3 linked regions of the Canis lupus familiaris genome follow. The protein of the gene in region 1 interacts with the protein of each later gene in a biochemical or structural test. Links are inferred from orthologs where the notes say so. Each region holds a gene or a part of one and is shown on either strand. Other genes may lie near its edges. The genes, in order: RAB11FIP3, ARF5 and ARF6.

What was found.
Region 2: the proteins of RAB11FIP3 (region 1) and ARF5 form a complex in vitro, tested with the Homo sapiens proteins (2 studies listed by BioGRID). The link is inferred for Canis lupus familiaris from reciprocal best matches to the Homo sapiens genes RAB11FIP3 and ARF5.
Region 3: the proteins of RAB11FIP3 (region 1) and ARF6 form a complex in vitro, tested with the Homo sapiens proteins (2 studies listed by BioGRID). The link is inferred for Canis lupus familiaris from reciprocal best matches to the Homo sapiens genes RAB11FIP3 and ARF6.

The regions. Positions count from the first base shown.
Region 1 is NC_049227.1:40,503,531-40,507,048, forward strand, and holds part of RAB11FIP3 (rab11 family-interacting protein 3), read right to left. Parts: intron 3,273-3,518; coding exon 3,138-3,272; intron 1-3,137. UniProt on the Homo sapiens protein: Downstream effector molecule for Rab11 GTPase which is involved in endocytic trafficking, cytokinesis and intracellular ciliogenesis by participating in membrane delivery. Recruited by Rab11 to endosomes where it links Rab11 to dynein motor complex.
Region 2 is NC_049235.1:8,598,622-8,602,700, reverse strand, and holds the start of ARF5 (ADP-ribosylation factor 5), read left to right. Parts: upstream 1-1,273; 5' UTR 1,274-1,379; coding exon 1,380-1,446; intron 1,447-1,971; coding exon 1,972-2,052; intron 2,053-2,404; coding exon 2,405-2,514; intron 2,515-3,099; coding exon 3,100-3,171; intron 3,172-3,698; coding exon 3,699-3,824; intron 3,825-3,926; coding exon 3,927-4,013; 3' UTR 4,014-4,079.
Region 3 is NC_049229.1:26,667,971-26,672,245, forward strand, and holds the start of ARF6 (ADP-ribosylation factor 6), read left to right. Parts: upstream 1-1,465; 5' UTR 1,466-1,627; exon of another isoform or gene 1,628-1,727; 5' UTR 1,728-2,213; coding exon 2,214-2,741; 3' UTR 2,742-4,275. Other genes in the region: uncharacterized protein LOC119876490, read right to left, coding at 818-1,429. UniProt on the Homo sapiens protein: GTP-binding protein involved in protein trafficking that regulates endocytic recycling and cytoskeleton remodeling. GTP-bound form plays an important role in the transport of multiple palmitoylated proteins form the Golgi to the plasma membrane.

The sequences.
Region 1 (3,518 bases):
GTGCTCTCCGGGTACAAGGGGGCCACAGGGACCCCGTGTCCACGGGCCCTCGGCTACATGTGGGCCCTCTCACCCCAGAACCTCCCCCACCCCTGCCCAGCGGCAGCAGCGGCACCCTCAGGGCTCTGCGAGCCTTGGGCCACGGATGCCTCTGTGGACACCCCTCCTGGGGGGCCTCCTGCAGCAAGAGAGCAGACTGCCTCAGGGTCTGGAGGGGAGGCACCCACCAAGCCCCGCTGGCGGGGTGCCGAGGGGCGTCCGTGGCAAGCCTGCCCTGAGTGCTGGTGGCGGGCTGCTCCCTGAAGCTGCTGTTGTCGCGAGCTCCCTCCCCTGAGCAGACCGCGCCTCATCGCTTGGTCCCCGGTTCAAACTGCTGTGTGCTCCCCTCTCCTGGCAGGACCCCGAGCGACACCACACTGTGCATCCTAGCATCCCCGGACTCCCGGCCCTACCAGGACAGGACAGACTCGGGGTGCATGTCGGCCCCGTGCAGACAGCCCGGCCAGGCCACCTCGGGGGTTTATAATTTGAAAACAGACCTATTACTCTTCATTTCTTAATATTCTTGTTAATTTCTACAAAACAACTTGTATTCCTGGAGGCTCCCGGGTCCCTGAAAAGCAGGATCCCTAGAGGCACGCTCTGAGGTTCACTGGGAGACGATAGATTTAACATCAAAGCTTCCAGATACAGGTGGGACCGAATCACCTTTTGCCGTCCACAAACTATGACCCAATACATCTATTTTGTGGCAACTCCAGGGAAACCAACTAGCAAGACCTAGATCTCCGTAACGTCAGCGTCTGGGACAAATTTCCTGACAGCTGTGTCTTGATTACAGCAACAGTGTTAACGGCATAGGAGCCCATGTCAACAGGGTCCTCCTTGGAGCACGGCTGGGGCTGGACTTGGAGCCACACTGAGCTGCGCCCCAGGCTCCCCTCAAAAGGCCCAGCAGAGGCGACTGAGGCCGTCCTGCAGCAGGCTGTCAACACAGCAAAAGATCACTTCTAAAGTGTCCAGGAATGAGGGACCCCTGGAGAGCTCAGCGGTGGAGCATCTGCCTTCAGCTCAGGGTGTGACCCCGGGGTCCTGGGATCGAGTCCCACGTGGGGCTCCCTGCATGGAGCCTGCTTCTCCCTCTGCCTGTGTCTCTGCCTCTCTCTGTGTCTCAGGAATACATAAATAATGAGAGATGAGATACGTGTCTCTGTGTTTACTATCAAATACAGAGATGGCACTCCTGGCCTGGAACCCATGGAGGCAGGACAGCAGCCTCTGCACGGGGAGCACAGGTGACCCCCAGCCAGGTGGAGGGGCCTTCCTGGAGCTCTGGGCACCAGCTACACACACAGGATGAAAGGCTAGTTTTCCCTGCGACAGAGGCCAGCAGCTGTTGGGAGTCAGTAAAGGCCACATTTCCCCCCAGTCTCCCTGGAAGGCTAGGTTCTCAGCAGAACTGTGGGGACCTCCCCCCAGACCCTGCTCTGAAGCGGCCGACTGGCCACAAAGATCCCTCTGCACTCGACTGGGCATTTGCTGGATTCCAGTCTGTGCGGTGGGTGCTGCACAGAACATAAAAAAAACGGGTTGGGGGCGCCTGGGGGGCCCCGTCGGTGAAGCGCCTTCAGCTGGGGTCACAGTCTCAGAGTCACGATCAAGCCCCACTGGGCTCCTGCTCCCTCGACCTCTGCCCCCTCCCCTGCTCGTGCTCTTTTGCTTGCTCTCTTACTCTCAAATAAAATCTTAAAAAAAAAAAAAAAATGCAAAAAGAAAAAGGTTGAAGATACTGAATGTGGTGCATTGGACCCAGAGGCAGGTGAGCAGTCCAACAGGGCTGCCAGCCATGGGGACCCACCGGGAGGGCCTGGCTTGGCCAGGCAGCAGTTTCTAGAGGACTACTCCTGCAAGCTTGCCGACCAGGATGGCTTCCTTCCTACCACAACTCATGTTACCTCCCAGCAGCAGCAGCCCGAGGCCCCTTCTTTCAAGAGCTCACCGCAGACAGCCGCCCTGGGGCCCACAGCACCCCTTCCCGCCCTGTCCACTAGGCGGGTGCTGCTGTGGGAAACCACCAACGGACCCCAGGGGCTTACCTGCACTACAAGCTTCATCAACCACGTGCTCAGTGGACATGCCCATAGGCACAAGCTACTCAAGCACGTTTTCTTCAACTGTCAAGTCGTGGGGAGCCAGCAAAAGGGCTGTCTCCTCCCCGAGCTCTGGCCTAAGCAGGCTGGTGCAGGGAACGGAGAGGGAGGCAAACACGGACGCACACGGGAACCGAGTGACAGGACGGGGACCAAGGCCGGGGCGGCGGGCACATGCTGGACCCCAGGGTAGTAAAGGTGGGTATCGTGGTAACAGGGTCTGAGGCAGCCTCACAGAACTGAGTGCGGGGACACCTGGCCGGCTCAGTCGGTGAAGCACAGGACTCTTGATCTCGGGGTTGTGGATCTGAGCCCCATGTTGGGGGCAGAGAATACTTAGAAATAAAAAAAAATCTTAAAAAAAAAAGGTCCAAGGGAAGGCTCACCTGATTTAAACAGACTCCTGGAAGCTCTTTACAAATGTGTGGGGTTTTTTTGTTTTTGTTTTTGTTTTTTAGAGCAAGAGATCATGAGGAGGGGGTGTGGGGGGATCCCAGCAGAGTCCACGCCAAGTGTGGAGCCTGACGTGGGGCTTGATCCCACAACCCTGAGGTCACGACCTGAACCAAAATCAGCAGTCAGAGGCCCAAGGGACAGAGCCACCCAGACGCCCCTCCAGATCTGTTTTTTTTTTTTTTGGGGGGGGGGGTCCAAGTATACCCAACCAGCGGAGCAGGGACTTGGACCCAGATCTGTTTTTAAAGACGAAGCTTACTTTACATTTCACAAAGCCCTCTCATGTGACTCCTTTAGTAAAATGAGGAAGGCTGCTCTTTCTAGGTGCAGACTTTGCCTCACACGGACTTCCCCATGCAGGACCCACAGCGTGTGAAGGCTGTTTCCACCCGGGGTCGGCGGCAGTGGCTCAGATGGAGGCATGCACACAGCAGGGGCAGAGGGCACCCGACACAGGCTTGGCGCATGCGGGGCAGGGGGCGAGCGTCCCTCCCGCTGGACGAACAGCAAGGCCAGGCACTAGCCAGTTACCTATTCTTTTCAAGGTCACTCAGACGAGCGGAAAGATCCTCGAGGCGGTTGATTTGTTTGTGGCACTGGCTACAGTAAAACTCAAAAGCCTCATCAGTGAGGATGCTGTGCAGCTTTGCAGCAAGCGGGTCGGTGCTAGAGAGACGAGAAGCGTCAGTTCAGGAGACAGGGAGGACCCACCAGGTTATCTGCGACCCCGTGGATGGGCCCTGGCTACGGGAGACGCTGGCTCTTCCTCCGGACCGCTGGGAGCCCACCTCCCTCAGCGCCACCTCAGGACTGGCTGGAGCAGTGGGGGACGTGGCCACACACCTGTTCCTTCCTGCTCAGGTGCTCGGAGGAAACAGGTGCAGCCCATCGGCTCCATTCTAAAACAAAACC
Region 2 (4,079 bases), on another chromosome or scaffold:
ATTAGTTTCTTAGTGGCCCAGATAACATCCAGCTGCACCATACAGACATACAGATATATTATCATTTTAATCTTCACCATAACCTCATTAGATAGGGCAGATATTAGTTTCCTTCTGTAGAAAATAAATGAGTTGTGAGGATTGAAGCTAAACCCTCCAAAAGAGGGGGTGGGTGGGGACAGAACTGAGATTTGACTGAGACCTGGAACAATGGTCCATAGTGGGCATTCAATATTTGTTGAGTGACTGAATGAATAAAGGTTCTCTGACTCTCAGCTCCCCTCACCATGTCCAGTCCCTAAGCAATTGATCCTAGAAGCCTCCTGGCAATCCAGTTTCAAATTGCTTGTCCTTGCTCCACTGAGCAGCCTATTAGTCCATTCAAACCAGCAAGTACTGTATTTATTGAGCATATATTAGGTGCCTGGCACTGACCCACTCTCAACCATAGACACAATTTAAATTAATTCCTGTCTTGCTATTTCCCCCTTGGTTGCTGAGTGGGAAAATTACTTACGAAGCACTTTGAGTCTAAAGCCACAAGAGTTTCATAAATTCCTGGATAGGTGTGCATTAAAAATCCGGGTTCCCAGGTCTCTGGCAAAGTGAAGAAGCTTCAGAAAAGCTGCCTGGATCTACTGAAAAGCATTGTGCCCGGGGCCATCGACGCAAAGGCGTTGTTGTCCAGCATGCAGGACAACATGCTGATTGCAAAACCAAGAAGGCCAGCTAGCGCTTGGACACCCTTTTTCCACCACCTCTCTTTCTCACTCCTCTCGAGATTCTACAGTCACTTGAACTACCTGCAACGCTCAAAGCCCCTCTCTGGGCGCTGAGGGGCCAAAGCAGACTAAGACGCATCACAGAGCTTCCGCTCCCCTAGGAGGGTGGTGCATACAGTGGATGGTGCTAGTTCGCTAGAGCTAACTAAACCAGAAAGCAGGGTGGGCTGGACGCGACAAACCAAAGCCCGAGAGGCCGGCCACTTAAGCTGAGGGTCAGGGGCCGTTGGGGAGCATTGTAAACTTTCCTCGGCCCCGCTCGGGCTGCCGGTGAAGCAGCCACAGATCTGCCGGCCCTCGAGAAACGAGGGGAAACCCAGACCCTTCCCCTCTTTAAGCCTGCGCGGGACGCGGCGAGCAAGCGGAGACTCGCTGAGCTTCAGATTTAGCCCGAGCGGGAGCCTGGGGGCGGGGAAGGGGCGGGGCGGGGGCGGGGCCCGGCCGGGGGCGGGGCCGCGATGACGTAGGGCGGGCCGGGACGCGCGGAGGCGGCGGCGGAGCCTCCTCCTCCTGCTGCTGCGCCCCATCCCCCAGCGGCCGGCCGGTTCCAGCCCGCACCCCGCGTCCGAGCCCGCACCCCCTCCCCCGGGCCCCGCCATGGGCCTCACCGTGTCCGCGCTCTTTTCGCGGATCTTCGGGAAGAAGCAGATGCGGATCCTCATGGGTGAGGCAGATCAAGCGCGCGGCCCGGACCGGAGCGTCGGCCCCCGCGCAGCCCTCCCGCCCCCGCGTCCCTCCGAGCCCAGCTCAGCCGGGTCTCTGAACCCGAGTCACCCGCCGCCTAACCCCCCTGCGGTCACTGCTCTCGGGCGGGTCGCGATCTGCAGCGCCGACCCCGGGGCCTGAGCCCGGGAGCTGCGGGCCTGGGTGGGGTGAAGCTCCCTCCGCCCCAGCCAGGCTGGTAAGAAGGGAGGATTCCGCCCTTGGAGACGACTTTTAAGAGGAGCGCAGCCCTCCTCCTCGACCCCTTACCCCTACCCCTCTCCCGCCTCTCGCCCGCTTCGGGGCACGAGTTGGTGCTCACCACCCAGACTGCTCTCAAGGCCTCGAAGGTGGAGGACAGCGCGCACCTGCAGGCGCTAGGGCTCTCCGCCCCAGTCTCCATCAGCTGTCCTGGCCTCTCCCCTTCCCTGATCTCTAGAGGGCTCCCTCGCTCCCGTCTCCATCCCTATGCCCCTCTCCGTTGCAGTTGGCTTGGATGCAGCTGGCAAGACCACAATTCTGTACAAACTGAAGTTGGGGGAGATTGTCACCACCATCCCCACCATAGGTGAGTTCTGAGGCGAGGCGGGGAGGAGCGGGAGGCTGATGGGAGGCCGCCTCAGGGGCTGCTCCCCATTCTGCCTGAGGCCCTTATCTCCGTGCAGTGAGCTGACCCTGACACCAGACACTGCCACCTGAGAAGTGGGTCACAGTTACCTTTAGTTGCTGGATGGTGCCGAGGCAGGGTGAATGTGACCTAGCCCCGCCTGGTCTGTGGACTGCCGGTCCTCTGCGGTTCTGTTCCCATGGGACTTCGTCGTTGCCTTCTGGTTTTATATGTCTCTGATGAATCCACCCAGATTTAATGAGTTCCTTTCTTTCAGGACTTTGTTCTCATATTTTTTCCCCATTATCTCCAGGCTTCAATGTGGAAACAGTAGAATACAAGAACATTTGTTTCACAGTCTGGGACGTGGGAGGCCAGGACAAGATTCGGCCTCTGTGGCGGCACTACTTCCAGAACACTCAGGTGGGGTGGGGCTCCCCAACCCCCAGAGAAAAGGTGTTAGAGCTCCAAACCAAGATGTTGGCATAGGCCCCCAAGCCAGGAAAAAAAAAAAAAAACCTTAACCTCCTTCTGTTCTCATCTGTAGGCTTGCTTCTATTCATCCTTCAGAAATGGCCATAGTCTTCTGAGACTTAGCCACCTTATGCATCTCCTGAGAAGCAGGGATCTGAGGCCATGTGGCCTCGTTTATTTATTTATTTTTAAAGTAAGCTTTCACCCAATGTGGGCCTTGAACTCACAACTCCGAGATCAAGAGTTGTATGCTCTACTGACTGAGCCAGCTGGGTGCACTCATGCTGCCTCATTTAGCTCTGGTCTCATCTTTCCCTGTTCCCTTGCACTTCTTCTAGCTACACTGCTTGCCTGAGGGCAGAGTCTGTATCCTTCGCAGGGTGTCGCCAGTTTGTGCCAGCATGTCTGCAGAACCTTAGTGAAAATTTACTAGATGAGAAGGTTTAGACACAAAGATGGGGAAAAGAGAAAGAGCCAGACTAGGCTATGTCCCAGGTGAGAGTGATTGCTTGTCTTTTCTTCCTTCCCACCCAGGGCCTCATCTTCGTAGTGGACAGTAATGACCGAGAGCGGGTCCAGGAATCTGCTGATGAACTCCAGAAGATGGTGAGCACCCAGAGCCCTGGTTGCTGAGCCCTCGTTGGAGACAGATCTCTGAGATCTCTGTGCTAACATGAAAGTCAGGAAATAGCTTACAGGCTTTGAATGTCTCCCTTTGTGGATGCAGACACAAGGAGTATCTCACCCTGTTTTGAATTTGAGTTGGGTGAAAGGCATATGACTGACTTTTTCCTTGAATTTTCATGTCTTCATATCTGAGAAGTTGGTGGGGAAAGGAGGAATTATATGTGGTGGAGAGAAATATCATCTTACATTCTTGTTTTCCCATTTGGAAATGTCATTTTGACTAGGGCAAGTCATTAGAAAAAGGGTCTTTCTGGATATAAGTCCAAATGGCTCCAAGCTGATTTATGACTCTGTCTTGTGTTCAGCAGTAGACTACGCAGTATTACTTTTTTTTTTTCCCACAAATCTGGTAGGAGGTAGGAAAGGGTGCTCCCCTACACAGTGGGGAAGAGGAAGCCTGGAGACTCCGCTAGGACTCCAGACTCCATCCCCTTCACCTCCCTCAGCTGCAGGAGGATGAGCTGCGGGATGCGGTGCTGCTGGTGTTTGCCAACAAGCAGGACATGCCCAACGCCATGCCTGTGAGCGAGCTGACCGACAAGCTGGGGCTGCAGCATTTGCGCAGCCGCACGGTGAGGGTGCTCCCTCTCCCAAGGGAGCCACAGGCTGGGGCGGGAAGTCAGGGCATCCCCTTTTCTTCCTTGCTGCTGATCATTCTTTCCTTTTCCCCGCAGTGGTATGTTCAGGCCACCTGTGCCACCCAAGGCACAGGCTTGTATGATGGGCTCGACTGGCTGTCCCATGAGCTGTCAAAGCGCTAACCAACCAGGGGCCGGCCCCTGCTGCCCGGAAGCTCCCGCGTGCATCCCCGGGACAACCAGATTCCC
Region 3 (4,275 bases), on another chromosome or scaffold:
GCAACACTTTGAACCCTAATCTTCTCACTCCAAAATCCTTCCTTCAGTTTTATGACAGTGGAAAGTAAGATGGATCAAGGCAGATGGAAAGTAAACTTGGATCAGTCAGAATATTAACAACTCCAGTAAGTTTATTTCAGCTGAAGCTTATAAGGTTATCACCTGACCCATCTACCATTATCAAATATTCTTATATTATGAAACAAGTATGTTATCATATGCTTCTATAGCATCTTCCTTAAAAAATAACAAACCCTATTTCCTGTTTTTCCTCCCCTTGGTTCCTTTATTTTAGGCTTCGCCTTACTTTAAGTCTAACTTGATCTCTAACTATTTGCTACAAAAAAGTTTCCGAAAGTCTTCCACAAACATTTTGTTATTTACTCTGAAACGGAGTACACAGAGCAAGGTCGGCACTACACTCGGTTTACACATGAGATAACAAACTTAGCAAGGTTAAATGCCTTAGATCCAGGTCACAAAAGTAGTCAGGCTTTCTGACTCTAAACCCTAGTGCTAAGATTATTATTGTCTGGGATTTTTAAAAAAATACTTTATTTATTTGTTCGTTCGAGAGAGAGAGAAAGAGAGAGAGAGAGAGAGAGAGAGGCAGAGACCCAGGCAGAGGGAGAAGCAGGCTCCACGCAGGGAGCGCAATGCGGGACTCGATCCCGGGTCTCCAGGGTCACGCCCTGGGCTGAAGGCAGGCGCTAAAGCGCTGGGCCGCCCAGGGATCCCCTCGTCTAGGATTCTTAAAGAAAAGCTAGGTGGTTAAGTTACTGCTCAACACACTAACTTAAGTATGAAAAGTTATCACCTTAAAAAGTTGAAAACGCAGCAAGGGACTGGAACTCTGGTTAACACTGTCATTTTTAAGTAACAGGGTCTGGTCCCGAAGAGATGTGTAAGACAGGGCTCGAACACCGAAAAGCGGGGTTTCCTGGCAAACCCAAGCCTGGTAGAAGCGCCGCACTGCTTGGCCGACTCCACACCAAACGCGGGCCTCCCACGTGTCTTTCAGGAAATGCACAGAACACGCGGGATGAGGGAGGCCAAGGACGGGCTGGGAGACGTACAAACAGCATATAGGGCTTTCCCGGGTGACTGAGGACGCGCGGAGGCTGGGGCGGGCCCAAGGGAACTCGCTGAGCACCTGGCGGGCACCGACGTCCGGAAGCAGCCTGGGGGAGGCTTTCACCGCGGGAGAGGGCTGGCCGCGGGCCCCGCCCTCGGGAGCTCCCCAGTGGATTTGCCTGCTCTGGTTCGAGAGGGCTGGGGGAGGCGAGAGCGCGCCACAGGGACGCAGAAAGTCCGCGTACAGCGCCAGGCGGGCACGGGTCAGAGTCCGAGTTTCGCGGGTCTGGGGCCTGACCGCAGCCGCGAGGCCTCCAGGCCGCCGTAGCCCCGCCCCCTCGCGCGTGGCGCCCATGACGCTGGGCGCGCGGGCCGCGCTCCTTACAGAGCTCGCTCTCACCGAACGGTCGGCCTTGCTGCGCCTGCGTGATCGGGAGGGGAAGTGAGGCGGTTTCTTCGGCGCCTTTTCCGGCGGCGGCGGCGGCGGCAGCGGCAGAGCTGGGAGGAGGCGGTGGAGGCCAGAGGGAGCCCGCGCTCAGGGCGGCGGCTTGAGGTAACCTCGCGAACTGAGCTGGAAGGACGAGTCACCTGGGCCTCCGCTCCCTTCTGGCCTGCCGGCAGTAACTCCCTTCTTCCTCTCTGTGTCTCTGCAGGCGGCGCACCGGATCCCGGCGAGGATCAATGACCTGACGAGGCGCCGGAGCCGCGCTGACTCTCGGGTGGCCTGGGTCGGTGGTGAGCCCGGTGCTCGTGGACCGGCGGGTGGGCCGGAGGGCTTCGACCTCCCGCGGCCGAGTGAAGAGAAGGCGGAGGAGCGGGAACCGCGGCGGCGCTAGCGCGGCGCTTGCGGGGGGAAGGGCAGTTCCGGGCCGGGCCGCGCCTCAGCAGGGCGGCGGCTCTCCCGGCGCAGACTCAGGGCCCCGGCGGCGGCGGCGGCTGGAGGAATCAAGTTGTGCGGTCGGTGATGCCCGAGTGAGTGGCGAGCCTGGGCCTCTGCCCCGAGGAGGCAACTCCCACGCAGGCCGCACGGGCGCCCTCGCGGCCGGGAGGCTTCGTTTCGGTTTCGCGGCGGCTGCGGCGTAGTTGGCTGAGGGGACCCGGGACACCTGAATGCCCCCGGCCCCGGCTCCTCCGACGCGATGGGGAAGGTGCTATCCAAGATCTTCGGGAACAAGGAAATGCGGATCCTCATGTTGGGCCTGGACGCGGCCGGCAAGACAACAATCCTGTACAAGTTGAAGCTGGGCCAGTCGGTGACCACCATTCCCACAGTGGGTTTCAACGTGGAGACCGTGACTTACAAAAACGTCAAGTTCAACGTATGGGATGTGGGCGGCCAGGACAAGATCCGGCCGCTCTGGCGGCATTACTACACCGGGACCCAGGGTCTGATCTTCGTAGTGGACTGCGCCGACCGCGACCGCATCGACGAGGCCCGCCAGGAGCTGCACCGCATTATCAATGACCGGGAGATGAGGGACGCCATAATCCTCATCTTCGCCAACAAACAGGACCTGCCTGATGCCATGAAACCCCACGAGATCCAGGAGAAACTGGGCCTGACCCGGATTCGGGACAGGAACTGGTATGTGCAGCCCTCCTGTGCCACCTCAGGGGATGGACTCTATGAGGGGCTCACATGGTTAACCTCTAACTACAAATCCTAATGAGCATTCTCCACCTATCCCCCGGAAGGAGAGAAATCAGAAACCCATTCATAGGATTATCGCCACCATCACCTCTTTCAATTGCCACTTTCTCTTCTTTTGAATTTGAACTCTGGAGTTACTGTTCTACGGTTGGGGAGGGGGGGGGGGTTTAGGGGTTTCCTTTTTTGTTTCTCTTTCTCCCCCCCCCCCCCCTTTTTTTTTGCTTTGCATTAGGATGCTCCGATCTGACATTTGACATGACCACAAAGTGCTAGATGCTCTTACTGACTTCCAGCAAATGGGATGGGGGAAATATAGCAGTTTTTGGTAAAGTCCTTTATAATAATGGTTTGATTTTTTTATTTCGAGAGAATCTTTTTTGCAATGTATGCTTTTTTCCTTTTTGCCCAGTTTCCTTATCACTTGCTGTAGATGGCTTATTTTGCATTCATGCAGACTATGTTGCAAGTCTGTTTCATCTAGTAAACTGAAAATTATTGCTTAATCAAACTGCCGTTTGTCTTTTATATTTAAGGCCTTTACTCCTCCCTTATGAGTTTTACCTTTAACTTAGTAATTTCAAATGTGACCTTTTATATCTAAGACCAGTATAGTAAACTTAGCCTACAGTGGCAAATAATGAGTAATATCATTGTAATATGTTCCAGTTGCACATCAGTATGTTAAACAGGTAATGTAAGAAGTTCTTTGAAATGTCAGCTATTAAGTTCTGAAACATACATCATGCATGAGTAGGGCTAAAACGCAAGTTCCTTATTACATAGCTAACTTACACTGCATAAAAAGATGAAAGTGTAACCCGTCAACAGATTTTTTTTCACTGCAAAAGTTAGCAACTTTGCTGTGTTTCCCTCTTTTTTAACTTTAAAAGTAGACTCTTTCCAGAAAATGGAGCAATAATGGTGTAGGCCACACACAGATGAGATATCTGTAGATATTTTCAGTGACATTGGGGCAAAACTGGAATATATACTTTTACCACATTTCAAATGTCTAAGACCAATACTTTAAAAGTTACTAGAATGTTTACTTTGTTCATTAATAAAAGCGTTTAACAATTCAAATTATACACATTTTCTACCTAGTTGAAAGAATACACATTCCTGTTTTCACATTAGAGCAACTGATTAAGCTGAAGATAGAAGTTTTTTTATAATTGAGTGATCCACATCTCCATTAATTAGAACACTGGAAAAGATGTTTTATAAAAAAGGTATTTAATTCTGTTTGATTGTAGGATTAACTCATACAAATAGATCTCCTGTTGGTTCATTAATACACTATCTCCTTTAAGGAAGGAAATGTGATGAATGAATGATGTGTAGACTTGAGAAATGACAATTAAAGGGGAAGTAGGATGAAGAAAGAACCTACAGATGACAATGAATGTAAACTTATTTTTCTTCAAGGGTAAGCAGTGTGCTCACTGGTGATATCCAGATCCTAGCAAGATTACTTGCTTAGCTTGTTAGGACCCGTAACTAGCTTATCGAGACCACTATGATGATACCTTGAACCAAATGTTAATGCT